Diceros bicornis minor: one gene and its partner. The protein of the gene in region 1 binds, or shares a complex with, the protein of each later gene. Links are inferred from orthologs where the notes say so. Each region holds a gene or a part of one and is shown in the gene's direction. Other genes may lie near its edges. The genes, in order: XRCC1 and APLF.

Region 1 (16,380 bases):
TCCTGGGTGTTCGAGGGGGAAGAGGGCTCTGGCTACTGGTTGGAATGTGTGACTTCTAGTTACCCGGATTCCTGGGTCCTGAAGGGAAATAGAGTCTGGGGGACAGGACTCCTGATTTCTCTGGGGACCACGGATCATGACACCAATACTTGTGTTCTGAAAGGAGTTGAGAGGTTGGACTCCTAGAAGGGGGTATATCTTGGTCTCCAAGGGAGTAGAAACTGGGGCTGTTGGGCATCTAGTCTTCCAGAGGGAGAGGGGATGGCAGCCCTGATTCCTGATGAGGGGCATCTCCATCATACTCCATCCACTGGGAATTCCAGTGTGGAGAAGGGGGGGTCTAGTACCCCAGGGGGCTGGAACCCTTGGACTTCTGAGCCACAAAGGGATATAGAGTCTAGGTTTCCTGGGGAATGGCCTGCACACAGCCTCCCAGCTCCTCAAGAGGCAGTGGGCTTTGAATCTTCATTGGGAGGAGGGGCAGTCTCTGGGGTCTCAGACTCTTGGCTCTCAGGAGGGCTGTGGACCTTGGTTCCTAACTCTTCCGTGGTGGGAGGGCTGCATCTAGAGGAGGAAGCAGGGGGCTGTGTGACAGAGCGGAGACCCTTTTGTCCCTCTTGGTCTAATATTTATTCCTTTTGGGGGCCTGGTGACCCAGACTCCTTTCCCAGCTGTTGTGGGGAGGATGGCCCCACAAAAATGAGGGGAGGAGGCAAGAGGGAGGTGGTAGGCTCTGGGGGTAGCCAGAGACCAGGAATGAGGTCTTCTGGTTATGGAAGGGCAGGAACCCACACCTCAGAGGTTTCTCCCACAAATCCCTAACAGATGTGGATCCTGGCAACTGCCCCTCTCTCTCTGTGAGTTTGGCCAAGAAGGGATATGACTGCCCCCATTTTATAGGTGCTGGCAATTCCGAGGTTCTTTGGGGAGTCTTCCTCTCTTCCTCCCTCCTTTAGGGGTTTCTGTCTTTTTTTGGTCTTGGTTTCCTCTGTCTTTAAACCTTAACCCTTTCTGGCCTTGGTATTTTGTACACCTGCCTTTCTGGAAAAGCAGCTGTACTGCTGCACTAACCCAGGCGTGTCTGTTTGGCTACCTCAGGTATCCCCAAGAGGCCCTGCCTTGGAGTTGAAGGCACCCACAGAACAGTGGGGCAGTGTTCCAGAGCGTGTGAATGTACCATGAGTGAGGCAAAGACAGAAACCACAGTGCTTGGAATGTTCTAGGCTGCCAGCTACATGTAGAGGAGAAGCCACAGGTCACTGAATCCTTCAATGTCAAAAACAGAAAGGGGGGACCTGAGGGGCTATCCAGTAGAATCTCTTATGATAGATGCGGAGAGCAAAGCCCAGAGAGGGCAGGCTCTAGGCCCAGCAGCACATAGCAAGGCCCTATGTGGTCTGGCCCCTGCCTGTTCACATGCTCTGCCCTACCTTATCCCCCAACCAGCTTGACAAATCTTCCTACTGATGCTTGAGTGGGCCACCTTGGGTCCTACCTCAGGGCCTTTGCACTTGCTGTTCTTTCTCCCTAGAATGCCTGGCTGTCTTATCAGTCACGTCTCACCCTAACTGCCCCTCAGAGAGGCCTTCCCTGACTGCTCTAACTGAAGTAGCTCACACACCCCCATTATTCATCTCGGCCTGTTAATTTTCCTTGTAGCAGTTATTACAATAGAAAATCACTTTATTTATTTATTTATTTACCTGTTTATTGGCTATTATTCCCTTGCCTGTGTTGTTCTCTTCTGTACCCCCAACACCTAGAATAGTGCTTGCCATATAGCAGGTGCTTAGTAAATATTTTAATTCATTCATCAGTGGCAGAACCAGGGCTGGAATTTAGAGTGCCGGCCTCTTGTCACAAGACAGGGAAAAGGAGCAAGATGGGGGGAGAAACAAGCATCTAATGGGAGAGAGAGCCCTTGTCTGAGGTCAGGAGACCTGGGAAGCAAGCGCGGCTTTGCCACTGTCACTCTGGGTGACTTGGACCAGTGCCTTATTTTCCCATCTGTGAAATGAAAGGGCTGGACAAGAACCATACGTAGGTATGGTTCTAGACCCTGTTTCCTCTGACGGCTGGGGACAAGGGTAACCGATCTGAGGGGCAGATACTCGAGGGATGGTAACCCCATCTCCAGCTTGAGCGTTCAGGCCTCTCCATCAAGTGTGCCAGCCATGTGGAAGAGAGGGAGAGCCACCAGGCAGCGCTGTCCAGTACAAATAGAATGTGAGCCACGTATGTAATTTTAAATTTTCTTGTAGCCACATTAAATTTTCATGTAGGCACATTTAAAAAGTAAAAGGAGGGGCCGGCCCCGTGGTGTAGCAGTTAAGTGCACACACTCTGCTGCTGGCGGTCTGGGTTTGGATCCCGGGCGCGTACGGATGCACCGCTTGTCAGGCCACGCTGTGGCGTCGTCCCATATAAAGTGGAGGAAGATGGGCACGGATGTCAGCCCAGGGCCAGTCTTCCTCAGCAAAAAGAGGAGGATCGGCATCGGATGTTAGCTCAGGGCTGATCTTCCTCGCAAAAAAAGGAAAAGTAAAAAAAAAGTAAAAGGAAACAGGTGAAACTAATTATCATGTTTTACTTAACCCAATATACCCAAAATATTATCATTTCAACATGTAATCAATATAGAAAAGTATTAATGAGATATTTTACATTCTTTTATGCTAAGTCTTTGAAATCTCGTGTGTATTTTACACAATTCAGGTGATAACTTTTCATCAGAAATACCTGACCTCTATTTAGATTTCATAAAACTCATATTTGGAGAAGTAGATTCATATACCCAAGTTGTCCCAATTATATTGAATAGTTTTCCAATAATGGAGATGAGTGTCAATTTTTAAGTTAATTAAAAGTAAGCAAAATTTAAAATTCGGTTTCTCAGTTGCACTGGCCACATTTCAAGTGCTCAGTAGCCACAGGTGGTGAGTGGCTACGGCACTGGACAGCACAGACCTGGAACATTTCCGCTATCACAGGAAGTTCTATTAGCACAGCTCAAGGGTCAGACAGTCCTTCTCCTGACTTTGGGGGTGACCTTGGGCGAGTCACTCAGCAGATGGCATCTACCTCACAGGGTTATTGTGAGAAATCGGTGTATGTACGTATGTACATGCATTCTCTGTCATGCATGTCAACATACCACAGCCCCTCCTGAGAAGACTGGGAGCTCAAAGGTTAGTCTCCTTGCCCCTGCCCACGTGCCCTCAGGCTCCAGCAGCACCCAGATGAGTCTAGTCTGGGCACCTTCTGTCTCAGCCCCATGCCTTTGCTCACAGAGTGCCCTCCTCTTTTTCTACTGCTTTGACACCATCTCTGATTTGGTTCTGTGTGACTTCTCTGCCCTGTGCTTCCTGCTCCAAATCCCCTCTGTCCTCACGCCAATGGCAATCATGCCAGAGCTCATATCAGAGAAAGCAAGACCCACTTTTGTTTGCATGCATCTGTCCACTGGAGTGTGCTGATTATGTGTATATAGTTATATATTGGCACTCTTGGGTGTCTACTTTTTGGGGTGGTTGCCTTTTAAATCATGACTTGCAATGGGATTGAATTTTAGGCTTTGTGGAAGCATAAGGTTGCTAGTGAGGCATCTGTCTCTGGGAGCATCCAAGCAGAAAAGACTAAGACTCCCTTGTGGACTGATCGCTGGCTGCCATCAGGGTGTGTCTACGTGGCATCTCCAGGCTGGAAGACCCTCGAAGGCAAGAATTCAAGGAAATGTATGATGACTCTTAGTGTTGCCATTGCCAGAAGCAGAATAGACACCAAAAACTCGAGTATGAGACAGTCTCATCACCTGAGCTGAGTTTTGTACATTTTTGGATAATGATGGAGGGACTTGTGTCCACTGGGGTGGGGAACCATGCAGGGTGAATGAATCAAGGGTGTGGTTGGTCTGTAGTGCTTTTTGGAGGAGTGAATAAAAATAAGTAGAAATCCCTTTGTTTGTCTGTTCTTTGGGGATTTGAAAGGGAAAAAAAGATACTTGGGATTTTGACTGGAGCTGGAAGCCTGGACCCCTGGATCTGAGGGAGGAGGGGCTGGGGTCCTGGACCCCTGGATCTGAGGGAGGAGGGGCTGGGGGCCTGCACTCCTGGGTCTGAGGGGAGAGGGGGCTGGGTTTTGGAACCCTGGGTCTGAGGGAGGAGGAGCTGGGGGCCTGCACTCCTGGGTCTGGGGGGCGAGGGGGCTGGGCGTTGGACTACTGGGTCTGAGGGAGGAGGGGGCCAAGGGTGGGGACTCCTCGGTCCTGGGAGAGGAGGGACTGTGGGGGTCTGTATAGGAAAGACTCCTCTGGGCTGGAATTGACGGACTTGGATCTGAGTTTTGCCACCCTGGGAGGGGAGTGGACCTGGGACTGTTCAGACCTGGGGACTTGTGATGGTAAAGCATCTTAGCTCTGGAACCAGCCTGGCCCATTGATGCCACCAATTTGTTCAGCTTCTCTGTAGCCATGAACTTGGATAGTCCCTTATCCTGACTCCGCACTTGGCCGTGTGATTTGCTTGGCCAGCGGGACAAGAGCAAACAGGACGCAAGCAGAGGCTTGAAAAGTGCTCATGCCTTGGGGCTCCCTCTCTTGCTGCCCTCAGGACCCCTGCCACCACCGCCACATCAACAAATCCAGGCTGACCTGCTGGGTGATAAGAGATGTGGCCCAGTCAGCCTTGACACTCCAGCCCACAGGCAGCCAACCCACTGAAACAGAGCTGCCTAGGTGACAGGCAGCTGAACCCAGCAGAGACCTGCAGAGGAACCACCTAGCTGATCCCAGACCACATTGGCAACCAGTAGAATCATGAGCTAAATTAAAGGTGATTGTTCTAAGCCACTACATTGTGGAGTGGTTTGTTATGTAACAAAAGATAACTAAGACAGGCTTGTTCCCTTTCTCTGTGATGTGGTCTCTTTCCCCCTCAACATGACTCAATCAATACAACCTTAAGCTCTACCACTTTTTTGCTGTGCAACCTCCAATGTGACATCCCTCCTCTGAGCCTCCAATTCTTCTCTTGAAAGCAGGGATGAGAATAATAATAGTGCATATCACATGGAGTTGTGACGATAAAATGAAAAGCAGCCCCTAAGAGGCCACAATGGCCATTGGTGCTGTTTATGAAACATGTCCATGTCCCAGGGCAGGATTGCACTTCTTGGTCCCCGTGTGGTTTGGTGGGACCACGTGAATAGTCCCGTCCAATGAGTTGTGTCAAGTCACTTCTGGGATTCATTTAATCACCCATATGAGACTTTCCTGTGCACAAAAATTGGCCATGTTCAAGTATAGCCACTCTGTCTGTGATTATGATGAGCAGACGCCCTGTGGATGGTGCAACCATGTGGGGTGAGGGAAGAATCAACCTTTCATGCATGGGTACTTGTTCACAAATACTACCCCGCTCCTCCCACTGGACGGGGAGTACACTTGCCTGCTCCATTGGTGTTGGCTATGACCATATGAGTTACTTCACTCCATGGAATGTTAGCACACCAGATCTCAACAGGGGCCTTAAATACAGTTGGCTTCTGTGCTCCTGTGATCTCTCACAAGAAGAACGTTAGCCAGGTAGCCACTGATCCCAGAAGATTGTGGAACCCCATGGAGGAGAACTTGAATCCTCTTCCCAGACTGGAGCCAAACCATCCAATGCACAGCCAGAAGCAGAGCCACCCCAGCCACCCACAAACGCTTAGAAAGAAGAATGCTTGTTGTTACAAGTCTCAGTTTGGGGATGGTTTGTTACACAGCATCACTGCAGCACTGGCTGACTAATGAAACTTTGTTGTTTTAAACCACTGAGATTAGGGACTTGTTACTGTAGCATAATCTAGTCTGTCCTGATTGGTGACAATATTTAGCACCAGCCAACTAATGGCCACCCAGTAAGTGGCAGCTATTATGATGATTACTATTTAGTCAGACATACTGTCTCTAGAACTGCACTAAGTGCCTTTTTGGTTTTCTTTCATTTGACTCTTACAGCAACACTCTGAGGTTATAACTATTAATATCCATATTTTGCAGACATGAAAACAGAGGCAAAAAGAGGGAGAGGTTATTAGTAGAGGTGATCCTGGACTCTGGAGTCTGACCCTCCCTAGCAGTTTGACCCAAAGCAAGTGACACCACAATCTGTGCCTCAGTTTGTTCATCTGTAAAATGGGGATAATAATGTCAACTACATAGAGTTGTGATTCTGAAATGAGGTACAGCATGGAAAACACTTAGCACAGGGGCCCAGCAGAGAGTAATCCCTTAATAAAAGGTAGGGTCTTCCCTCTGTTCCTTGCAAAGAGGGGGTTCCCAAGGGTTGGGAGCCCCGATGTCTACATCCCCTGCCTCCCCAGGATGCATCACATCACGAGGACTCAGGCTTGCTTTGTTAACCTTTTTAATTTATAGGCACATGGGGAGCTGCAGGCCGAGGACTAATGGAGACCACAAGCCACATGTTCCTCAGTTCTTCACTCAGCCCTGCCAGGGGGCCAGGGGGCAGGAAGGCAGTCAGCTCGGCGGAGGAAGTAGAGATAGGAGGCTGAGGGCACCTGGGCCCCAGCCTTGGCGTAGCAGGCACTCTCTGTAGCACAGCCCCGGGTAGCAAATTTGGCGTTGATTATACCTGGGAGGGGGGTTCAGGCTGGAGTCAGGGCTTCCATCCCCTCCTTCCTATGACCCAGGAGTCTTGGCCCCTGCCACTTTCTCACCCAGTCCCCGCGAGCCACCATCTTCCCTAGAACTTGCAAGTATGGGCCTCCAGTTCTGGGGGCCCTGTAACCTCCTCCAGAGAGCCAGGTGCCTCTCACCAGCCTGCACGTTGCCAGCAAAGTAGACGCAGTGGGTTTCCTGGCCAACACAGCGCGCTGCCTGGGTCCCCGGGCATGTCTCCTGGAAGGGTACAAGGCAGGCAGGGCAGTGGAGGCCGTTCTCAGTACGATTGTTCTGGGGAGCTGGGGATGAGGGTGGAGTGTAAGGTGCATAGGGTCGTTTAGACCCTTCCCCAACCTCACAACAGCCTGGGGAACACCGGATGCTAACGGACACTGCATTTTACAGGTGAGGAAACTGAGGCTCAGAGCAAGATGCTTGCCCAATGTTACAGCGCCGGTCAGTGGCAGGTCAGAGCACACACAGTGGGCTCTTGGGGCTGGCTGGAAGGGACTCCCCATGCGGGGCTGAGCTGGCACTTACGGGGCACGGAGCCTTGGTTGCAGCCGTCGCTCTGGCAGCAGTACGTGGTGGACACCATGTAGTCCTGGGAGCCCGTGGTGGTGGAGACGAAACCCGAGTAGCAGTCACTGAACTTCATGCAGCCCTTGTAGGTGTTCACTGAGTGGCGGCCCTCTGCGGGATGGGGGACCGGAGGGAAGGGCTCGGGTGGCGCTGGCCGATCCCACCCTGGCGTCAACCCCGACCTCGGGGTCTCTCCCAACCATACACCTCCCCCACCTGTGACTCTCTAGGGTGGTCTCCTCCAGCCGACGAAAGCCATGCTCCCTCATCTCCCTGGAGTACAGACTGGAGCGGATTATTCGGTACTTCCCTCACCCCCCTCCTCCCCTGGCCATTGCCTGCCGCCCAAAATGGTCAACATGATCACACTCCTCCCAACCCATCCCAGCCTCTTCCTTCTCTTCTAGCCCCCTGCCCATCTCTTGCCTATTAGATTCTTCCCCTCTCACTATCTCTCTGTTCCCCCGTGTCCTTTCCTCACCCCTCCTACCTAAGAAAGTCTCCATATCTGCCCTCCCATCTTCTTTTGAGTTCTGACAACAATGGTTTCTGTCGTCCCATTGAATTCACTTCCCTCCGTCTGCCTCGAGATAGCCTTCTCTCTTCCCTGCCCACCCACCACGGGACCCGCGATGGTCCTCCCCCCCCACTTCGCGCGGTGGTATCTTCCACCCTGAGGGCACACCCCTCCCCGGGGTCTGGCGCCCCGCGTGCCTACTCGTGCTGGACTCCCCCACGACGATCACGCATGCGTCCTTGCCGGCCTCGCAAGTCTTCGTCTTGCCGCTGCACGTGGGTCCGGAGGCCCTGCACATCTCACAGCTTAGCGGGCACCCTGCAGTGTAGAGGGTGGGGCTGTAGACATGGGTGGTGTGGTGCGGACCACGACATCGACTTCAGAGTCCAGAGGGCGATGGGGGCAGGGGGGCCGGACTTTTGGGTCCTGAGGGACAGGTGTCTCCCTCATTCTTAATGGGCGGGGCATTGAGTGCTGTCCAGGGGACTGTCCGCAGCTCTGACAGGGACGTGGTGGTGATGGCAGCAAAGCTGCTTCCAGGGGCGGGAAGCGACTCCACCAGGGAGCCTGTTTAATTACAAGGCTGGGGAGTTTGGACGCTAGGGTCCTCTGAGAAAGCTCGGGCATAGGGAAGGGTCCTGGCGAAGTTCCCGTGGACTTCTGTGCAGCTTGAGGTCCAGCTGGTTCTTGGACGTGGGACCCTCCTCCTTGTAGGTCCCGCGAGAAGTTCTTGCAGACAGTAGGAGCTCAGGCAGGGGCACCTGAGGTTGGGGTCTGCATCCCAGGTCAAGAAGGGAGAGCGAGGACCAGGGGGGCTGAGGGCGTGGACTCGGCGGTGGTCCTGAGAGAGGAGGCAACTGGGGGCCCACACAGCTGGCTCCTGGGGAAGGTGGGGCTTGCTTGAATTCCTGCATCTAAGGGAGGAGGGGCCGGGGGCCTGAACTCCCTAGAGTCCAGGGAGAAAGGAAATCTCTTCCCCTCTCTCCATCTTTTTTTTTTTTTAATATTTCTCTTTCTAGTCATGCTCTCATGAGATTTTCTAGAATTCAAATGTCTTATTTCAAGACGCTGCCTGGGGAACAGAGGATTCGGAGCCCACCCAGTGCCCTCCTTTCTCAGGGATCCAATTACATAAGGTTTTGAGCCATTCCTCTCCTGGGGCCCCAGGCTCTCTCTTCCTTGAGCCTCTGCCTTCGCCATGAATCTGAATTCCCACGACACCTCCTCTTTCCCCTCGAGGACCTTGCTGAATGTTCTCTCATAGTCCTCTCTCTCCTGAGGTCCTAGGAGTCCAGGCCCCTAGTCACTTACCGAGACCCAGCAGCGTGCAGAGCAGCGCGGAGGCCAGCAGGAGGGTGGAGGGACTCATGGTGTGTGAACCTGCAGTCCTGGTCCCCAGCCCTTATAGGAAGCTGAGGAGGGGCGGGTCTGGACCCACCTTCACCCTGGGGTGATAAACAGCTGAGATAAGATCTCAGGGCAGGCCTCTGCGACTCTGGGTTGGGGCAGTGGAACCAGAATCTGAAAGGGACAGAGGCATCTTGTGCCCAGCCCCTCCTCCATGGGGACCCCAGGAGTCTGGGCTTCCAGCCCCCTCTTCCATCAAGGACCCAGAAGGTCACTTTCCAGTTTTCTCACATTCCCACCGCCCCCCCCCCCGCCTTTTTCCTGGCCTGAAGCTCAAGGTCAGAGTTAGGTCACTTGATTTCTTGTAAGTGTAGAGCAGCTGCAAGCACTGACATCCCGTCCCTCCTCTCTCTTCCCAAGAAGGCGCCCAGCGTGGGTGGGGCCCTCCCTGGGAGCGCCCAGCATGTCCAGGCTCGTTCCACGGGGGCCCGGAGCCTTGTCTCCCTTTCCTTCTCCGAGATCTTGGCTCTACTCCCAGTTCTGTGTTCGGGCTGGACCCCGCCTGGGGCTGCATCCCTGGGTCTCGCGGGGACCGAACAGAGGGGTGCTTGTCAACGGGCAGGGGCGGGCGTGGCGGGAGACAGATGCCCACGCGTCAGATTGGGAAACTGAGGCATGCGTTGAAGCACCCAGGCTGGGCGTGTGTGTCTGGTTTGGGCGCATGCTTTGTGTTTTATTTAGGTCCTTAACCCACTCTCTCTTGGCCTCAGGCGTACCCCTGAGAGAGATCAGAGATTTTTTTCGTGTGTGCGGTGGTGGGGTGGCGAAGAGTGTAGCCACAAGGAACCGGTGAAAGGGATCCTGTTGCGAAAGGCTCCCGACTGCCTGAGAAAAGCCGCTCAGGTTTGCTGTCCTTTTTTCTCTTTATAGGTTTCGGTTTGGGCGGTGATGCGTCATCCAATGAGAATGGCGAGTTTTTTCTAGGGCCCAATCCTGGGAGCCGCTCCTGTTGCTAGGCGCCCAGAAAGCAGAGTGTTTACGTCATCGGGAGGCGGGGCTAGAGAGTGGTGGGGCCAATGAGAGGCGGGGCTAGAGGAGAAGCTCGTTGCTAGGGGACTTGGCGCCTCTCTCCGGGGAGGCGCGACTGGGCTTGCGCAGTGTCGACGCGAGAGCGGGCGCGCCGCGGTTTGAAAGGCCCGAGCCTCGCGCGCTTGCGCACTTAGGCCCGCGCAGGGAGCACCCCCTCCCCGCCCCCCAAACTCGGACCCTTCTTCATCCTTCGGGCCTGGCGAAGCCCACGACGTTGACATGCCGGAGATCCGCCTCCGCCATGTAGTGTCCTGCAGTAGCCAGGACTCGGTGAGGGACTGGCGTGGGGGAGGTTGGAAGACGTAAGGGAATTCTCAGGGGGCTCTGTAAGAACTTTTGGAGTGTAAAAGGGAACTTCATGGAAGTCTTAGGAGGGTCGTGGGGGGATTTCCAGGACGCTCTAGGGAATTCTGGGAGAGATGGGGAATAGGGGAACTTCTGGGCGGCTGTGGGACTTCCGGAGAGGAAAGGAGGAATAGGGGAGCTTGCTTGGAGAGTCCAGAGGTGAACATCCAGGGGACGATGCTGTAGGGGACTCGAGGCAGAGTGGGGGCGGGGATTAACGGGGAAACCTAAATCTAGGGGGGTCATAGGGGGCTTGGGAGGACTGAAAGGAATAATTTGAGAGCTGGGGCCCGCATCTCTGTACCCTAATTTTCCCCTTTCCGCTCTTATCTTCAGACCCACTGTGCAGAAAACCTTCTCAAGGCCGACACTTACCGAAAATGGCGGGCAGCCAAGGCGGGCGAGAAGACCATCTCTGTGGTGCTCCAGGTGATCCTGCCCCCACTCCCCCCCATCTTCTTCTTCATAGGGGTCTGGAGACCCAGGGCCCGGACTCTGCTCTTGAGCCAACTGGCAGTGAGTCCAGGCACTTTGCCTTCCTTACCTGGAAAATGGGCAGCGTGGTCACTGTGCCCCTTAGCAGAGGAGGAAGGTGATCCAGGCGCTAGGCCAAGGATGACCATAGGAATCAGCGTGTGGCCCAAGTTGATGGCTTCTACCTTCTGGGCCTCAGTTTCCTCCGCCAGAACAGAGTGAATCATTGCCATGTATCCTGCCTTCTAAAGTCGGTGGGCTGCGGGCTAGAAGGTGTCTTGGAAGATCATCTAAGCCAATCAACCCCATTTTAAAGATGGGGAAACTGAAGCATCTGGAGGGGAGATGTGAAGTGGCCAGTTTAAGCTACCATTTCTGGAATGCTGGCCAGGCTCTTTCTGGGGGCCTTTGTCCATGCTCTCACCGAATCTGCACCATAGCCTTGTGAATGTGGAGGGAAGCAAAGAGGAAAGGGTGGTTTGACCTGAGATGGTTACAGAATTCCAAACAGGCTGTTCCTGTCAGGGATAAGAAACTGGTGGGAGAAGAGAGCTAAGTGTGTTTTAAGCATCTGCTCTTTACCAGGTGCAGGCCTGGGTGTTTTATCTGCACAAGCTCGCTCTTTACAAGAGCAGTATCGTGTAGGGACCGTTATCACCGTTAATAAATGGCAGTACTAAGACTTGAACCCATTCTTGGTGCTTTTAACCACTCTGTCATACTGCTTTGTATTCACACGTTGGCTTTCTTGATTTTGGCCATATTCCTTATTTCTGAATGTAGGGGTGTTTTGGAGGATGTTCGGGGGCAAGGCTTACATGATTGTGTTGAACATATTCTTGGTCTCTCTCTTGCCCCATGGTTCTGAAAAACTTTTGAGTCACAGAGCCTTTGAGAATTAGAGAGAAGCTGACGATTCTCTTCTGAGGAAAAATATACAGACCTACGAGATTTTCTGAATGATTTTGGGACTTGAAACATCTCCTAAGTCCCTAACATAGTAATAATAATGAGAGCTAACATTTATTCAGTGTTACAACTGCCAGTCACCATTCTAAATGCCTCACATGGATTAACATTGAATCCTCATAAAAACTCCATGACCTAGGATCTGTTATTATCCCCATTTTACAGATGAGGAAACTGAGGCCCAGAGAGGTTATACAACTTGCCCAGAGCCAATACTGTAAACTGAGGGAGATACAGGTTGCTGACAATTTAGTCTTGGAACCTGGATTCAAGTCCTTAGCTCTCCCTCTTACTCACTCTGTGACCTCAGGCAAATTGTTTTATTTCTCTGAACCCGTTTTCTCATCCGTCCATTGGGAATAATGAGATCTAAGCCCAGGGCTGTTGTGAAAATCCGGTGACATAATGTCTGCAGAAGTGCTCTGTGAACATGTAAGTGTTTGTGTAAAGGGAGGGATTCCTGTTATTATTACTGAGTGATGAATCTGCAGGGCTCTCTTATGATCAGGTGACCCCAGGAAAACCACATTCCATTCTGTACCCCAGTTGCAGTGGAAGCAGAAAGACCAGAAGCAGGAGAGACAGGACATGGCGGGATGAGGGAGCCAGAGAGGCCAGAACGAGGCACAGGATTCTCTGGCCTGGAAGATTGAGGGAGGTATCGCAGCTGTCACTGAAACCCAGAGAAGGAGCAGCTTAAGAAGGTGATACGTTTGGTTGGGATGTCCAGGTTTGATGTGACTTTGGGACATCAAGGGGCAGCATCCAGGAGGCAGTGAGGAGTCAGGCATGAAGCTGGAGACAGAAGCATGGAGACTGTCAGCACAGGGACAGGACCTGTAGACTTGGGAGTGAATGGATTCATTTGTTCATTCATTCATTGAATAATTATTTACAAAGCGCCTTCTCCTGGGCCAAGCACTGTTTTAGGGACTGGGGCTATATAGCAGTGGACAGACAGACAAAAATAGATCGGTGCTCTGGAGCTTCACATAGTCGGGAAAGACTGAAATCAGTAAGTGAAACATACGTCAGATGATGAGTGCTGTGGAGGAGAATTAAACAGGTAAGAGGAATGGGGAATGCCTCAGCTGGGGGAGCAGGCAGTGGCAAGAGGTTTTTATTTAAATAGTGATCCAAGAAGGCCTCTCTGAGAAGGTGACATTTTTGCAGAGTGAGCTATGCAGACATCTGAGGAAGAAACACAGACTCCAGGGCAGGCTGGTGCCTGGCGGGCTGGAGGAACAGCAAGGAGGCCAGTGTGGGTGGAGTGGAGTCAGCCAGGGGGAGACAAGTAGGAGGTGAGCTAATGGGGTGGCGGTAGAGGGCCCCCAACACACTTAGGGCCTGAAAGCCATTGTAAGGACTTCAGCTTTTACTGGAGACGAGATGGGAGCCGCTGAAGGGCTCTGAGCAGAGGAGGAATGACTCTGACTTAGGTTCTCAGAGAATCCTTCTGGCTTCCACATTGAGAATAAACTGCAGGGAACAAATGCAGGAGCAAGCAGCATCGCAGCTGTTGATAATTTATCCCACGTTAGAGACTCTTTGGAAAATCTGATTGTATTTGGCACTTGCCAATATGCAGGGTGACTCCAAATTCACCGAATGCTAATTTTGGTTCTTTTCAAGCAAGTGGTAAGGCAGAAATTTCCGGACACCAAGACACGTAGACTGATCTGTGGGTTTTCCTACTACCCTGAATTTTCTCCTCCAAACAATATTATGCAACCTCTGGGTGTTACTACATGGGGTTCAGCCTTCTGCTCGTGACAGCCCCACATGCCTTTTTTGTTCATGGTAGCCACAGGAGGCTCTGTCGCCAACTCGTCACCTGCTCCCAGAGAGTGCCAACCTCTCTGCTAGCCGCTCCTGGGCCTAAGGGGACGACTGGGATGCAGTCCAGGTGTAACTCTGGTGCGGCACTGGAGGTGTGTTCTTTAGAAGAAATGTTTGACAGCAAGGTGACACACGTTTTGTTTTTATTTTTCAGTGGTTTTCTAATCACTCAGTTTGCCATCATGGTGTTTTAAATTTGTTTTTACCTTCTTTTGATGTGTAACGTGTACAGCAGAGTGCACAGTTCAGTGAATCCTCGCAAACTGCAACCTCTGACTCCACACCCACATCAAGTAACAGAACATGCCCGGCCTCTCGACACCCCTTGTGCTCCTTCCTGTCGCTACCCCCGCAAGTGTAATCACGGTCCTGATTTTTAACAACATAGATTTGTTTTGCCTGGTTTTGAATTTTATATAAATGGAGTCACGCAGTATATACTTTTGCATCTGGCTGCTGTCACTCAACATTATGCTGTCATGATGTTGGTTCATTCTCATTTCTGTATAGTATTCCATTGTTGGAGAGAGCCATTGTGGTTTTATTAACTTTACTTTTTGAATGGGTATTATGTGTATATGGTGCAAAATTCAAAAGGCACGAAAGGGTATACATGGAAAAGAAAGTCCCCCTCGCCACCTGCCCCCATCGCCTCCTGCTCCCTCCCCCGACTCCTGCTACCCAGTTCTTCCCTCCTGAGGCAACCACTGTTAGTGGTTTCTCGTGTGGCCCTCCTGGGTCACTGTACACATATAAGCATATACATCCACCCTACCATCCCTTTTTAAAGTACATAGTATATACACTGTTCTCTCCTTTGCTTTTTTTCCAAATAACAGTGTATCTTGGAGATCCACTGTCACTGCAGAAAGTTCTACCTTTTTCTTTTAAATTGTACGTAACCTTTCATGGATGTGGAACAATTTTGTAACATGATGTCTCCCAGGAACTTTGCACGCCTTCCGAGTCCCATTTGTTTCACTGTCATGAATTGTGTCTTCCTGAGAAAGGTGCACACAGACCCAGGCCACAGATAACGGTCATCTGGGGCTTAAGCCCTTCCCTTCACAGCTGACACTTACTGAACACTCACTTCTTTTTTGAGATAAAATTCATATAACGTAAAATTCACCATTTTAACCAAAGTGTACAATTCAGTGGTTTTTAGTATATTGATAATGTTCTGCAATCATCACCACTATCTAATTCAGAACATCTTCATCACCCCAAAAAGAAACCCTATAACCTTAAGCAGTCACTCCCAATTTCCCCCTCCCCAGGTTGCCCCTGGCAACTACTGATTTTTTGTTTCTGGATTTGCCTATTCTGGACATTTCGTAGAAAAAGGATCATACTATATGTGGTCTTTTGTGTCCTGCTTAAAGGTTAGCATAATGTTTTCGAGGTGCCTCCGTGCTGTAGTGTGGATCAGTGCTTCATCCGTTTTTATAGTTGGGTACTATTCCATTGCATGGGTATACCATACAATGTGTGTCCATTCATCAGGTGATGGACATTTGGGTTGTTTCCATATAACTGTTTTTATGAGAAATTTTTTATTTATCAAAAAGAAGAAATACAAAGGAGTATATATATGTGTTTAAAGTAGAAGTAGTTATATAGGCAATAAGAATCATTCATTTAAAATACAGATGCTACAGTAGTCCTCCCTTATCCGAAGTTTCGCTTTCCTCGGTTTCAGTTACCCATGGCCAATGGCAGTCTGAACATATTAAATGGAAAATTCCAGAAATAAACAATTCATAAGTTTTAAATGTCACGCTGTTCTGAGTAGTGTGATGAAATCTCGCGCCGTCACTCCATCCTGCCTGGGATGTGAAACATCCCTTTGTCCAGTGTATCCACACTGTATACGCTCCCCGCCCGTTAGTCACTTAGCTGTCGTGGTTGTCAGATCAGCTGTTGCAGTATTGCAGTGCTAGTGTTCAAGTAACCCTTATTTTACTCAATAATGGCCCCCAAGCGCAAGAATAGTGATGCTGGCAATTTAGATGTGCCAAAGAGAAGCCGTAAAGTGCTTCCTTTAAGTGAAAAAATAAAAGTTCTCAACTTAATAAGGAAAGAAAAAGAATCGTGTGCTGAAGTTGCTGAGGTTGCTGAGGTCTACAGTAACTTTTATTGTAGTATATTGTTACAATTGTTCTATTTTATTATTGGTTATTGTTGTTAATCTCTTACTGTGCCTAACATAAATTAAACTTCATCATTGTTATGGATATATAGGAAAATATAGTACATATAGGGTTTGGGACTATCTGTGGTTTCAGGCAGCCACTGGGGGTCTTGGAATGGATCCCCCATGGATAAGGGGGGACTGCTGTATATACAGCCTACTAGATGTAGGGCCTTGTGCTTTATATTATGGGAGAAATCAAGATGTTGAGTTTTTACCTCAGGATTGAAATAGGAGAGTTGAGAAAAAGTGTTGGTTTATAGTCAGGCAGTTGGGTCCACATTTTTCTGCCAGTCATTAGCTGTGTGTGACATGTGAGCTATTTATTTAACCTGTCTGAGTCTCAGTTTCCCCATCTGT
Region 2 (15,586 bases), on another chromosome or scaffold:
TTAGCAAAAATGTTAAGTTCCACGTATTTAATATAATTTCCCTCAGATTTTCTAGATGTTTGTAATGGGAGATGTTCCTTGTTAGTCTTAGTCCTTCATGTTGCCTCAATGTAGGAACTAAGTGTCGAAATTATAAAAGACACTATATTCTAGTGGTTAAAAGGTTGGTCTGTGTAGTCAATGAGATTTGGGTTTAAATAGTGGCTTTACATCTTCTTTTTACATTTATATTTTAGATTGTCTGAAAAAGAACTAGCAGATGATTTCCTGTGTTCTTTGAAAGTCTAATCAATTGTGAAGATGAAATAAGATAATATTAATAAAGCATTAGCATAGGGGTAGCCATAGGGGAATGAATACTCTAGAAACGGGTTGTTGAAAAAAGAAATCTTGGCTCTATGGAAAAATATCCCTTTAAAGAGAAAGACTTGGTGATTACAACCTCATTCAAATGATCAGACTTACACGCTCACATAGTAGAACAATCAGACATCGTGCACTTCTTTATGCGATATAATAAGAAGTATGTAACATCACCTATGCAGTATAATTGCTAAATATGTTTCACCTGAATCAAATCATAAAAAGACAATCAGAGAAATCAATTATAGAACATTCTATCAGATAACCAGCCTGAATTCTTTAAAAAAGGTCAATATCCTGAAAAACAAAACCAAAAGCTGGAGGATGCTCCTGGTTAAAACAGATTAAAGGGGCATAAAAAAATGATATGCATATGTAAACTTTGTTTGGCCTCTGAATCGGAAAAAAAATCTATAAAAGATATTTTTGGGGGCCATTGGGGAAATTTAAATAGGGATTATAAATTAGATGGTATTATTGAGTTAAAAAGTTTTAGATGTGAGAATGATATTGTATACCGGCGAGTGTACTTAGGAGACGCATGCTGAAGGGTTTAGGGGTGAAGTATCATCATTGTGCAACTTATTTTCAAATGCTTCAGCCAAAATAAATGATAAATAAAACAAATGTGGAAACGTTAACAACTGCTATGTCTAGGTGAAGGGGATACATGAGAGTTTTTTGTCATATATTTACTTTTCTGGGGGTCCAAAATTTTTCAAAATAAAAAGTTGGAGGAACAGTCTTGTCTCGTTTGAATTACTCATTCTCAGCTAAGTTTTTAATTCATTCAATAAAAACTAATTAAGTACCTACTATGTATTACACACTCTTATAGGTGCTGGGAAGTAGTGATGAACTAGATAGATAAGCTTATTCTCCAAAATTCAGTTTCCTCATCCATAAAATGGATATAGAGTAACAGTACCCTCCCCCCACCCCACAGACACACAAGCACAATGCTTGTAGCAGAGTAGGCACTCAGTAAATGTTGGCTATTATAATTAATCGTCTTTGTCCATTGTTGATCTAATTTCATCCATTTGATCATTTTGGTCTTTCAACTCTACTTTAAATAAAAATGTGTGATTTTCCATCATATGTATTACTCTTCCCAAACCATTTCCTGATGTTACTACCCATCCTATTTTTGTTAATATTATTGGGGCATTTGAAGGTTTGGAAAGAACATATTATATAAAGTCAAAGTAAAGATGAAATTAAAATGGTTAGGGTATATTTTTCAAATTAGGCTTGTATATACATGAGTATTCTAAGGTCTAAAGCTTATATTCTTATAGATTTTATTGATGATTACGTCCTAGTCTAAGATTGGGTTATAAACTAGACGCAACTAAAGAAAGGTTTCTAAAAAAAAAAAAAACAAAAAACACTAGATCTTGAACTGAATAAATATTAAACAACAGTGGAAATTCCTTAATACTCTGTCCCAATAATCTTGCCTCTTTTTACAAACTGTGTATAGGTAACGTCATTTTATCTATGAGTAAGAGCACTCCTTCCTTCCATTCTACTCCACCCACTCATGTACTCAGATGCTAATGGCTTGGTCTGATAAATGCACAGTTCATTCTAAGTCCATACCATAAAATTTATCACTAAGTTCCCAAACTTTCCTTTCAGTGTAGACGGTGATCATAGCTTATAACTTATTATACAAAAAATTATTTTAATGCTATAGTACTAAAATTCAAACTAAAGATTATTCACATAACTTGCAAAATAATACTTAAAACTGCTTGGGGTGACCCAATAATTAAAAATAATAAGTGATACTTTTGGGTTAAGTTTATTTTCAAATGTTTATTAAAGAAAATAAAACAAAAAATTTCTACTTTCCTATTTTTCTCTTACAGCTTTTGAGAAGACTAGAACAATTATTCATATATTAGCATTAATATTAAGCATCCCATACATCTTACAGGTTGTACATTGCATTTCAATACAGTCTTATCCGCTAACAATATAGCATATTATTTTTATTAAACATTCTGGGTAGGACTAAAATAAATAATATAGAAATAATTTAAGAAATCTTTATGGACTATCTACTATGTTCTAGGTTTGAGGAGTAGAAAAATAAATAAATGGTCCCTGCCATTAAGAAGTTCACAGTCTAAACGGAGAAACAGACAAATAAAACAGACAATTTAAAGTAGCACGACAGCTTTGAGAGTGGTGTGCACAAGGAACTACAGGAATCTTAAGAGGGCCACTTAATCTAGAATGATAGAAGTTAGGGATGGTTTCCAGGTCAAGATGATAAGTTCTAAAAAAGAGTTTGCCAAGAAAAGAATTACTGGTGGGTGAGAAGAACATTCCTATAGATGGAATTGTCAAATAGTCCTAGAGACTGGACTGGCCCCTTCCAACTCTAAGAAGACAGTCAGAGACAACCAACCATCAGGTGCTTGATCCAATAATGGGAATTTGTATAGAGTGGAGCATCTCTCCGATATTTGCCTATTTGTTAAATACTGGTTTCCTGGATTCTCATTTTTTGTGCTATCGAGCACACTTTTGGAAGAAAACCCCATACTAACTAAAATTTTTTTGTAGATACTTTTTACTATGGTGCTGACCACAGATTCAGAACAATCTGGTATAGTACTTTTTTTTTTTTTTTTTCTTTTTTTCCTTTGTGAGGAAGATCAGCCCTGTGCTAACATCTGCCAATCCTCCTCTTTTTTGCTGAGGAAGACTGGGCCCAGGCTAACATCCGTGCCCATCTTCCTCCACTTTATATGGGACAGCGCCACAGCATGGCTTGCCAAGCGGTGCGTCGGTGTGCGCCCGGGATCTGAACCAGCGAACCCCGGGGCTGCCACAGTGGAATGCGCGCGCTTAACCGCTTGCACCACCGGGCCGGCCCCTATATCATCTACTTTTAAGAAAAAGAGAACAAAACGAATTAAAGGTTCCTGGAAAACTATAAACTTTAACAAAGTTAGGTATATAGGGTTCTCTAAAATATTTTTCTTTCTTTTAAATGTGGAGAAAACAGAAAGGAGCTGAAAGTCCTTTGTCTTGGTTATCTACAAGTAGTACACTAGATGGTGCCGTAAGGCTGTCAGAAAGAAAGTTTCACCAAGAAAAACAGTGTGGCAGTTCTGATGGCAGTTAAGTATTCTGGAAACTTTCCACATATTTTCAGCCCCTGAGAGCAATTCCAGGTCTGTAGGCAAGTAACGGGATCTTAATCTCACAAGTTTTAGCCATTTGGTCAGATTAGTTTTAAACTAAACCACAAGTTTTTAAACACATTTTAAAATGGTTTCAGTGTGTGACAATTCAATCTGATTCCACTGAAGTGGAAATTTTTAAGTTACTGAAATAAAAATTTATTATACATTTAAACATATTGCTATTAATTTCATTTAGGTAGTCTTCCCATGAGCCTCGTTATGTCTACTACTTAATGATTCTCTAAGTCAGTTTCTTTGAATGGTTTCCTGAATTTTTAAATTATTATTATGCAGAAAATACCAAACTCTCTTATCTTTATTAAAGTACTGCAATATACTAATACAAATACATGAAACAATACATTTTGAAATCACTCTATCAGTACAGTATTTCTTATATAAATAACATTTCATGATTTTTCCACATTACAATAAAACCAGAAAAATATTTTTTACTAATAAAGTGCAAAATAAAAACAAAGCTTTACTTTTATCATATTTTCCACTTAGTTTTCTTTTAAATGTTAAACATTAAAAAGGTGAACAAAAAAACTGAATGGATAAAGATATACCTTTTGCAACTTACGAGTCATTTTAAACTCTCAAATTTATGAGATGTTTGTGATTTTTCTGCTTATCTTTCCAGTTCTGCTTCTAGAATCTCCCCCCATGTATCTGCATCCATCGGGTACATGATTTTTTCTGGTAGGCTAACAGAAGAACATATGTTGCTGTATCTGCCACTTAACCATTCATATTTCACTTTACTCTTCTGGTAATTCCTCAGTAGTATTACCTGAAAGAGGTAAACCATCATCGTTAAAAAATGTAGTAGGCGGTTGGTTAGTGAGTTTGTTTGAAACTAGAGAAGCTGGGCTGGGCCAGTGGCGTGGCGCTTAAGTTAAGCTCGTGCGCTCCGCTTCGATGGCCTGGGGTTCCCTGGTTCAGATCCTGGGCGTGGACCTATGCACTGCTCATCAAGCCGTGCTGAGGCAGCGTCCCACATAGAGGAACTAGAAGGACATACAACTAGGATATACAACCAGGTACTGGAGGGCTTTGGGGAGAAAAAAAGGAAAAAAAAGAGGAAGATCAGCAACAGAAGTTAGCTCAGGGCCAATCTTCCTTAAAAAAAAAAAAAGAGAAACTAGAGAAGCTGATGGACAGGGCTAAAAAGAATGAGTATTTACATTAATATACATATATACTCATAAATGTGTGTGTATAAGTGTATATATATAAAGAGTGAACCACAGAGTTTGCTGAGGATTTTAGATAAGGAGGAGTGAAAAGAAGTAGCCACTTTCCTTCTGGTTAACGGGGGAAAATGGCCGAACTTAGGATGTAAAAAAATGTAAAAAGATGGATGGGAGACAGTGTGGTTTGCAGGAAAAGAAGAATAATTCAACTTTAACACTAAAAGCCAACACACTCTGTATGTCATTGTGTATATGAACCCCTGCCTCCTCCAAGTAGAAGGCAGTTGGCTCAAACCTACCACCGTCTTGTCAAGCACACCGTAGACTACAAAGATTAAACTTACCCTCCAGGAGTAACCCCTTTTTTGATCATCATCTATTTCTCTTTGGCACACAGCTCTTACGGTCAAGCAATGAGGTTTCCATAAAGAGTCACTGTTTCTTATTGCGTAATTCCAGCTCCTGCATGCCATTGAAGCCCTGCACAAACTCCGAATGTCCAGCTGACTGAAAATTTTAAAAGTAACTTCTGGAGGCAGCAGTTCAACAAAGTTATTTTGACTCTCTTTTTTTGCCTTCTCAGCATCCACAGAGTTCAAGTCTATGTCAGAACTTCTTGAATTATTGTTTCTCTTGGAGTTTTTCTGCATAGCGTGATGTTTTAGTAAATTATCCTCATATGTAACCTAAAAGGCAAAGTTTTAACTTAGTTTCTTCAGATCAACCCTGATACTTTCTGGGTATGATCTAGAAAACTTTAACTTTCCTGACCTGAGCTTCTCAGTCTGTAAAATAGGGCGAATGATGCTCTTCTCCTGTGTGTTCTTGCAAGGATTAACAGGGATAATGTGTAAAACATCCAGCCCTCACACTGGAATTGCACATGGGAAGCACTCAACATATGTTATTTCCCTTCTTCTTTTTAAATATTTTTAGTAAACGGGTTTGTTTCTAAACATTTATTTTTCTGCTCCCAAAGAACATTACCTAAAAACGAGAAATGAGAAAAAAAAAAGAGAGAAGTGATTCTTCACAGATATAATTTATTGATTTTAGTAGTAGAAATGACTATTGTGAGAACACATTCAATTTCAAATATTTATTAAAAATACTTTTGAAAATGTGTATGATTCAATTCTATTAAACTCTTGAAAACTTGATGTCTGTGGGACCTGATGCCTTGTCATTAAGTTCTTCATCTACAATTTGTGACTTAAGCATAAACCTGATGGACTTTTAGTAGTTTATCTAAGAATTATTTATCTACTTGTATCTAGTGGGTAAATTCTCACATTTGATGCAAATACTATCTGAAATAGACAAGAGGTTGAGGCCTGGGTTTTAATGCCACAAAGTCTCAAATATTCAATTCAGTTATAAGATTAGTGTTTTAAAAATGACCTCCTGAAGCTATCCTACATGCCAAGTTAATTATGAACTAAAGATAATAGTTACTTAGGCCATCAAGCAACAGTGACTAACAACTATAAACGACGTTTATAATGCAGTTAGGTATAGCTTGTGACTAAAGATTTAAAGTCCAGTTTCAGCTAGTTTACCTAAGGTGCATGTTGCAGGTTTCTGAAATCAGTTGAAAGCATGGAGCTCTTTTTGCATTTAAAACAACTAATATTTATTTAAAATCAGTTTATTCTATGTTGCACTTCCTTTTATAACGGGGTGGGGGGTGGCACTGCAGGAGGTGCGGTTTCAGATACAGCTAAATACTTCTTTTAACTCAGCTAATGACAATTCCCCTTTCTAGATGCACTACTCACCTATATGTTTCTGGACTTGCCAAGACCACAGTTGCTCCCATTCATTCATTTGGTTGCTTACGATCCAAATTAGCTATGGTGGTTAGACTTTTAATGTCTCAGTTCAACAGAGGACTTCCTCTTGAGGGTTTGGGGAAGTAAGAAAGTAAACTGGTAAAAATAAGTTCATGAATCAAGAGCAAGGGGGTGTGTGTGTGTGTGTGTGTGTGTGTGTGTGTCCCCGCCATTAATACAAACCAAAGCCAAACTACCATATTCTTGGAAAGAATCTCATATTAAGAGAAGGTTACTGTGCATCTAAATGTTTGTTACTTCTCCCAGGATCTCATTGGGGAATAAACTGAATGTTACTGTTCTCCCGTTACAGTTACTCCACAGGAGGCAGATGAAGGCTTTTGACTTGAACAGTCGGGGATGCCTTGGTGAAGTTCCTAAAATCCTATTAGGCATCTTCTTCTAAACCCAGTTTTGCCTGGAGCCTGGAAAACTATCCCTCTTCTGCCCCTTCTTCTCTATGAACCAAATTTTGCTGAATTACCTCTCTAATCAGTTATGAGCTCGCCCCTTGTTCAGGTGTCACACGGAGGGAGGGGTCGAGGGCAGCACAAGACGGAGGGGCGCCACCTGGTTCTCTAGGAGGCCCCACCCGGTCCAGACCACGCAGGTCGCAAAGGAATGACCCCAAGTCCCATCTGAGCCACCCTCCTTGCGTGCCTTGCGCAGGCTGCACCTGCCCGAGTGCAAAGAACACGGGGCACTGACAAGTGAACAACAATAACAACTGTCAGCACCGACTGTCACCGCAGCTCGGGGCCGCGGAGGCGAGGCTGCGCTGGCGCCAGGACTGCGCCCCCGGTCGTGCCCACCCGACGTCTGCGGGCAGGGAAGATCCTCCTACCTACTGGGCCGCGGCGGCTTCTCCTCCTGCGATTTAAATCCTCCGCAATTCGAATTTTTCGCCATGGTCCTTCACGTCCCGCCCACTTTAGCCCGGCCTTGCTGACTCAGATGTCGCACAGGCGTAGAGAGGAACGCGCACTGCCTTTTGGGATTGGTAGTTTTACCAGGGCGTCTCAGCTCGGCAGGGGAGGAGAAGGAAGCCGGCAGGGACTACAAGGTCCGGCGTCCTCCAGGCCCGGACGGGGGGAGTGAGAAAGGGTGGGGGGATTAAACCGGGGCTTTCAAACGATAATTTTGAGCCCGCCGGATGGGGGAATCGCTGAGTGCGTAGCTTGTCGGAATGGAAAGGCGGGGCTGGGACACCTCTCTGGGGCCCCTGCTGCGCGGGGACTGGACACGGCTGAGCCGAGTCTTTGCTCCCCCTCCCCCTGTGTTTTTCCGGGGGCCGGCGTAGGTCCCGCGCCTGTCCATGGAAGGCGGAAACGGTCGCGGGGTCCATCTCCTTGTGAAGGGGCCTGATCCTCGCCGCCATGTCTGGGGGCTTCGAGCTGCAGCCGCAGGACGGCGGCCCCCGGGTGGCCCTGGCGCCAGGGGAGACGGTGATCGGCCGCGGGCCGCTGCTGGGAGTAAGTGTGGCCCGGGGCTGGGCCGGACCCGGACAGCCGAGGGAGGTCCTTGCAGGCTCCCAACGCCCCCCTCCCCGCCCTGGCCCGATTCCTCACCACGCCAGCTCTGCCTGTTTGGGTATTAGAAGTTTGGGGCCAGCACGTTTTTCAGTCAACTTGAATCAACTCACAAACGTTTCCTTATGTTGCCTTTAAAAAGCACTGACTTATGTTATCATTATAACCTTATCCAGGAGCCCACAAACTATGACCTTGGGTCCAAATCCAGCCTGCTTTTCCAGAACTAAGAATGGTTCTCAAATTTTAAAATATAAGCAAATAAAAAACCTCTTAGCTTTTCAGAGAGAATAATTGCTCCAGGGATTGAGGATAGTGCCTCTTGGCCTGACAAGCCACAGTATCTGGAGTAGTATCTGGCCCTTTACAGAAAAAGTTTGCCAACCTCTGATCTTACTTTTTTTGTATGTGCAATTTACACTTTTCACCCTTCTGCTCTGGTAACCACCAATGTGTTCTCCTTCTCTATGTCTTCACATAAGAGTGAAATCATGGTATTTGGCTTTCTCATCTGACTTATTTTGCTTAGCATAATACCCTCAAGGTCCGTCCATGTTGCAAATAGCAAGATTTTATCCTTTTTTTACTGGCTGAGTAGTATTCTATTGTGTGTATACCACATCCATTCATCCATGGATAGGCACTTAGGTTGCTTGCAAGTCTTGGCTATTGTGAATAATGCTGCAATGAACATAGGGGTGCATATATATCTTTTCAAATTAGTGTTTTTGTCTTCTTTGGATAAATATCCAGAAGTGGAATAGCTGGATCATATGGTAGTTTTATTTTTAATTTTTTGAAGTCTCCGTACTGTTTTCCGTAGTGTCTGCAACAGTTTATATTCCCACCAGCAGCGTGTGAGGTTCCCTTTTCTCCACATCCTCTCCAACACTTCTTATTTCTTGTCTTTTTAATAACAGCTGTCCTGACCAGCGTGAGGTGATATCTCATTGTGGTTTGATTTGCATTTCCCTAATAATTAGCAATGTTGAATATCTTTTCATGTGCCTTTTGGCCATCTGTATATCTTCTTTGGGAAGATGTCTGTTCAGATCCTCTGTCCGTTTTTTAATCTAGTTTCTTTTTGTTGTTGAATTGTATGAGTTCTTTAAGTATTTTAGATATTAACCCCTTATTGGAAATATGACTTGCAAATATTTTCTCCCAGTTGGTAGGCTGTCTTTTCATTTTGTTTATGGTTTCCTTTCCTGTACAGAAGCTTTTTAGTTTGATGTAATCTTGTTTGTTTATTTTTTCTTTTGTTTTCTTGGCCTTAGGAGACATATTCAAAAAGATACTGCTAAGACTGATATCAGAGGGTACTGTGTATGTTTTCTTCTAGGAGTTTTGTGGTTTCAGGTCTTACGTTTAAGTCATTAATCTATTTTTTTTTTATTTTTTTTTGTGAGGAAGATCAGCCCTGAGCTAACATCCATGGCAATCCTCCTCTTTTTGCTGAGGAAGACCGGCTCTGAGCTAACATCTATTGTCAATCCTCCTCCTTTTTTTTCCCCCCAAAGCCCCAGTAGATAGTTGTATGTCATAGTTACACATCCTTCTAGTTGCTGTATGTGGGACGCGGCCTCAGCATGGCCGGAGAAGAGGTGTGTCGGTGCACGCCTGGGATCTGAACCTGGGCCACCAGTATCAGAGCGCACGCACTTAACCGCTAAGCCACAGGGCCGGCCCCATTAATCTATTTTGAGTTAATTTTTGTGTATGGTGTAAGATAATGGTCTACTTTCATTCTTTTGCATGTGGCTGTGCAGTTTTCCCAGCACCATTTATTGAAGAGACTTTGTTTTCTCCATTGTATGCTCTTGGCTCCTTGTTGAATATTAGCTGTCCGTAAATGTGTGGGTTTATTTCTATGCTCTCATTTCTGTTCCATTAATCTGTGTGTCTGTTTTTGTGCCAGTACCACATTGTTTTGATTACTGTAGCTTTGTAGTATATTTGAAATCAGGGAGTGTGATGCCTCCAGCTTTGTTCTTTTTTCTCAAGAGTGCTTTGGCTATTTGGGGTCTTTTGTTGTTCCATATAAATTTTAGGATTCTTTGTTCTATTTCCATGAAAAATGTTGTTGGGACTTTGATAGGGATTGCATTGACTCTGTAGATTGCTTTAGGTGGTATGGACATTTTAATTTTAACTATGTTAAGTCTTCCAATCCAAGAGCATGGAATATCTTTCCGTTTCTTTGTGTCTCCTTCAATTTCCTTCTACAATGTTTTATAGTTTTCAGTGTACAGGTTTTTCACCTCCTTGGTTAAATTTATTCCTGGATATTTATTCTTTTTGTTGCGATTGTAATTGGGACTGTAGTCTTGATTTCTGTTTCTGCTGTTTCATTGTTAGTGTATAGAAATGCAACTCAGTTTTGTATGTTGATTTTTGTACCGTGGAACTTTACTGTATTCGTTTATTATTTCTAATAGTTTTTTGGTGGATTCTTTAGGTTTTTTTAATATATAAAATTATGTCATCTGCAAATAGTGACAGTTTTACTTCTTCCTTTCCATTTGGATCCCTTTCATTTCTTTTTCTTGCCTAATTGCTCTGGCTAAGACTTCCAATACTGTGTTGAGTAAGAGTGGTGAAAGTGAGCATCCTTGTCTGCTTCCTGTTCTCAGAGGTATTGCTTTCAGTTTTTTATCATAGAGTAAGATGTTGGCTGTGGGTTTGTCATATGTGGCCTTTATTGTCTTGAGAACTTTCCTTCTATATCCATTTTATTCAGAGTTTTTATCATAAATGGTTGCTGAGTCTTGTTGATTGCATTCTCTGCATCTATTGTGATGATCATGTGATTTTTATTCTTCATTTTGTTAATGTGGTATATATCACATTGATTGATTGGCTGATGTTGAACCATCCTTGAATCTATGGAATAAATCCCACTTGATCATGGTGTATGATCCTTTTAATGTACTGTTGTATTTGATTTGCTAATATTTTGTTGAAGGTGATCTTATCTTTTCTAGAATAATTTCTTTTAAGCTTTTGGCCCTTTTTGTGTGACTGTGTGGTCCTTACTTTTATTGTAGTAGTCTTTTTTGGTAATATAAGTAGCTAACCGTTATGTAGTGTGTAGTGTTCCAAGCATTGATTTAAGGACTTTACATATACCAACTTCTTTAATTCTTTCAAAGCCCTATGAGTTAGGTGCTGTTATTATCCTCATTGTCCAGATGAGAAAATTGAGGCGTAGATTGGTTATTTAAAGGGCACACATAAGGTTTTGGACACACAGTACCTCTAAGCTCTATATTCTCCACCTTCTTTGGGATATTTGGGAGTTAGAAAATTTGCCTCTTGCATTCAGGAGTTTTGTAGATCTCTCCCTAAATACATATGTATTGTTTTCTTAACATTCAGCATATCTTGTTTAGTGCCCACTTTGTGCAGCACGTTTTGCAGGCCCTAGCACTGTGGAACATACAAAGATGAGTGAGATCTGGGTCCCTGCCCTCTAGGAGTTTTCTCTTGAACTGTGGAGACAAACCTGTGTAACTGAGCTAATACCAGGGAGTAAGGAATGTGGAATATTATCCTGGTTAACCTCTAGTGTCTAAATAGAACCGTTGATATTAGCGTTAGGACCCTTCTCAAAGCAGGAAAAGGAGTGGTAGTTCAAGGTTGTGATGGGAAAGTCAGTCCTAAAGGGGTGTGTGTGTGTGTGTGTGTGTGTGTGTGTGTGTGTGTACATATATGTATATGCAGTAAGGTTATTGAGAAAGTTGAAGTTCACCTGCTGTTATGTTTTTTACTGGACAAGTAATTACTTAAATGTTTAAATAGCATTCTATTACTTTTCTCCATAGTTTATTAACCTATACAGACATTTGAAGGGACTGCCTGGGAGGTTTTCTTTTTCTCTTTTCTCTCTCTCTCTCTTTCTCTTTCTGTATCTCTCTCTCTGTCTCTCTATCTATATCTAAGTTAGAAACTTAACACAGTATGTGCTTCATCTGGAAATGTTATGTGTGGTGACTGATGAGTTTTGATTTGCTTAATAAATTGTATCACCAACACAGAACACTGTGGATCTGGCTTAAAGACAGATGGATTTTGGGCCTCTATTTTACAAACGTGGCAACGTGTTGCAGTCCGTTTCATTATTTGTAGCTTCATCTTTCTGTTATAGGCTTGCTAATGTGAGATGACCTATTTGGTTTCTGTTTTTAAAAATGGTAAGGAGTAGGGGCCGGCCCGGTGGCGCAAGCGGTTAAGTGCGCGCGCTCCGCTGCGGCGGCCCGGGGTTCGCTGGTTCGGATCCTGGGCGCGCACCGAAGTACTGCTTGGTAAGCCATGCTGTGGCGGCGTCCCATATAAAGTGGAGGAAGATGGGCACCGATGTTAGCCCAGGGCCGTCTTCCTCAGCAAAAAAAGAGGAGGATTGGCGGATGTTAGCTCAGGGCTGATCTCCTCACAAAAAAAAAAAAAAAAAAAAAAAAAAAAAAAAAAAAAAAATGGTAAGGAGTAGAAAGTTAATTATCTGGTCAGGATTTTACTTTTCCTTTCCAAATAATCGTTCAGTGATGAGATTCTCTTGCCAGGTTTGGCAGATATTAGAAGTGGTTATGAACAACATCCTAAATGCATTGAAGGAAAAACTTAAAGAACAAACAAATCACCTTACAGTTTTTAAGATTTTGGAGCTGACAGACAGATGTGTTTCTTTTCTGCAGTGGGTAAAACTCAACACGAGGGCTGTTGTTTCAAACAATAGCTATTCCAGTGAGATTCTTTTTTTTTAATGTGAGACAGCAAAGACTTAGTTCTAAGTGGGAAAACTCAGGAAGTTCATGGTAAATTTGTATCCATCTGAAATGATTAATAATAATAAGGATGGTTTTTGAAGTCTCTCACTTAACTAGCCATGTTTTTTGGAGATAAGTTTCACAAAAGTTCATTGGCCACACAAGCATAAACGTTTGTAATTCCAGTGTGTAAAACAGTCTTGGTGGTAAAACAATTTGACAGTGAGAATGTCTTTATGTCTTTACAGTGGCAGGAACACTCGTAGATAACAGTGCACAGGGAAGTTTACTTTTCTTGTGCCCTTTGCTTTAGTGTGCTTCGTCAGCAAACCCAAGGTCTTTATTTACTTTACTAGGTTGTAATTCTGTTTCATGATCTGCACCAATAAATAAAAGGTTCTACAGCAGGAGGAGTCTCCAGGGGATTATCCAGGGTGAAAACAGTCAGTCTTGAACGTTACATATTGTATGACTTCATTTATATAACATCATTGAAGTGACAAAATTATAAAACTGAAGAACAGATCAGTGTTTCCAGGTTTTAAAAAAGGGAGGAGAGGGGCCAACCCAGTGGTGTAGCTGTTAGGTTTGCGTGTTCCACTTGGCAGCCCGGGGTTCACCAGTTCTGTCCTCTGGGTGCGGACCTACTCACCGCTCATCAAGCCATGCTGAGGCGGCGTCCCACATATAATATAACTATGTACTGGGGCTTTGGGGAGAAAAGAAAAAAGAGGAAGATTGGCAACCGATGTTAGCTCAGGGCCAATCTTTCTCAAAAAAAAAAAGGAGGAGAGGAGCAGGGAGGGAATTGGATATAGCTATAAAACAGCAACATTGGGGATTTTTGTGGTGATGGAAATGTTTTGTATCTCGACTGTATCAATATCAGTATTTGGTTGTGATACTGTATTATAGTTTTGCAAGATGTTACTGCTGGGGGAAACTGAGTAAAAGGCACAAGAGATCTTTCTATGTTATATCTTTTAACTACATGTGAATCTACAACTATCTTAAATAAAAAAATTTAATTAAAAAGAAAATTTTACAGTATGTACAGCATCTCAGGCAACAGAGTACCTTTAAGCCAAATTATTAGCTTTATGGTTTTTCTGTACTTAAAGCTGATTACACTCTTAAATGAAGACTGCTGTTTCTGATTTCAGATTTTCCTTATTTTGTTTTGATAGCAGGGATTATAGGACACATTTCTTTATGATCTATTTTCTTGCAAGGAAATAGAACAGCGCCAGGTATCTAGTGATACTTCCTATAGGCAGCTGTAGTTGAATCAACTGCTTTAATTAAAAAGAGAAGAGTCCCCCGTTGGGGGTGGCAATAGTCATGGACTCCAGTGTAGACTCTTCACATGGCATCAGTTCACCACTTCTAAGAATGCTGTACGTGTTCCACAAAGTTTACACAAGTAACCGCTCCCTAGCCTGGCAACTTTGTACTGTTCCTGCTTGTTGCAGAATCCCACTGGCTGTCCTGGAATGCTAGTCTTACCTGGTGCAACAAGGTTTGTCCCTAGGGATGTGGCATACACTTCCAGCTGCTGGGTTTTGCCCCTTCCTCACTTAATTACTGAGCCTAGTACAATGCCTGGCACATAGTAGGCCGTCAACGCATGATCTCTTCCTTTTCTGCCTCTCAGCCTCTCACTTCCAACTCTCAAAAAAAACCTACTTATAACTTAGGTGTAAAAAGGATGTCTTAGAGTTTTGAAGTGAATTTAAACATAGTAAAGAAGCAGTGCTACCAACTGAAAAAACTTAAGGAGCAACATTCACGATGGATTGTGTTACCATGTTTCCTATTTCGTTGACCAATAATTTAGTACATTCAGAAAATAGTTGATAAATATATACTATAATCAGATGGGAGGGATGAAAGAGAAATAAGTCCTTGGTCTCGAGAAACTTACAGTTTAGTAGGTGTGAGAGACACAGAAGCGAGTAACTAAACGGGGGTTACAACCTCGAATGGGGAGTGGAGCCAGGCTGGCACCTTGAATGAGTGAAGTGGTGGGGTGTACGCACAACACAGGGATAGTGATAAATGACAGCAGTGTTATAGACGACAACTGCCTCGGCATGGGGGAGGCCTTGAGGAGAGGGATCTGTAGTGCAGTCCCTGCTACTCACCCCCATTCCCGCCTGGCAACGGTGTCATATCGTTTTTTCCAAGAGCAGTAAGAAATGTGGATTTTTAGATATAACCTCTAATTTTTAAAAGGTCGCATTTAATTAAAAGTTTTGTTTCAATACCGTGAGCCAACAGAAGGATGTTACATGATGCAGAGAGGTATAGGAAGGAACCCACGGTTGAGATGAGGGGTCAGAGAAGCCTTCATGAACTCTGTGACATATTGAGAAGATTTTGAAGTGTTAGAACAGAATTTTGGTAGGTGGAGAGTGGGAAGTTGGGAGGGAAGGGGCCTTCAGGCTAAGTGAATGTACGATTTAAGGCTCTAAGGTTCGAAAGCACCTGGCGTATTGGATAATTAGATAAGTGCTGACTAGACTTGGGGGATAATCACATTACATCCATGATCCCGTTTAGCTTTTACAGTATGTACTAGTTTTCTTTTTTTTAAATAGGCTTTATTTTATTGAGCAGTTTTAGGTTCACGGCAGAATTGAGTGGAAAGTACAGAGAGTTCCTGTATACCCCTGCCCCCACACACGCACAACC

Evidence for each region.
Region 2: the proteins of XRCC1 (region 1) and APLF are in contact, whole or in part, in a crystal structure (PDB 5W7X), measured with the Homo sapiens proteins. The link is inferred for Diceros bicornis minor from reciprocal best matches to the Homo sapiens genes XRCC1 and APLF. Residues at the interface, in NP_006288.2 of Homo sapiens: Pro514, Tyr515, Ala516, Gly517, Ser518, Thr519, Asp520; in NP_775816.1 of Homo sapiens: Arg27, Gly28, Pro29, Gly32, Ile33, Thr34, Lys36, Arg37, Val38, Ser39, Arg40, Arg41, His58, Asn60.

The regions. Positions count from the first base shown.
Region 1 is NC_080773.1:18,185,112-18,201,491, reverse strand, and holds the start of XRCC1 (DNA repair protein XRCC1), read left to right. Parts: upstream 1-10,312; 5' UTR 10,313-10,418; coding exon 10,419-10,469; intron 10,470-10,880; coding exon 10,881-10,973; intron 10,974-16,380. Other genes in the region: PINLYP (phospholipase A2 inhibitor and Ly6/PLAUR domain-containing protein), read right to left, coding at 6,481-6,635, 6,820-6,963, 7,205-7,357, 7,965-8,081, 9,075-9,132. UniProt on the Homo sapiens protein: Scaffold protein involved in DNA single-strand break repair by mediating the assembly of DNA break repair protein complexes. Negatively regulates ADP-ribosyltransferase activity of PARP1 during base-excision repair in order to prevent excessive PARP1 activity.
Region 2 is NC_080751.1:19,794,963-19,810,548, reverse strand, and holds the start of APLF (aprataxin and PNK-like factor), read left to right. Parts: upstream 1-7,766; 5' UTR 7,767-7,976; coding exon 7,977-8,072; intron 8,073-15,586. Other genes in the region: FBXO48 (F-box only protein 48), read right to left, coding at 4,204-4,365, 5,113-5,418. UniProt on the Homo sapiens protein: Histone chaperone involved in single-strand and double-strand DNA break repair.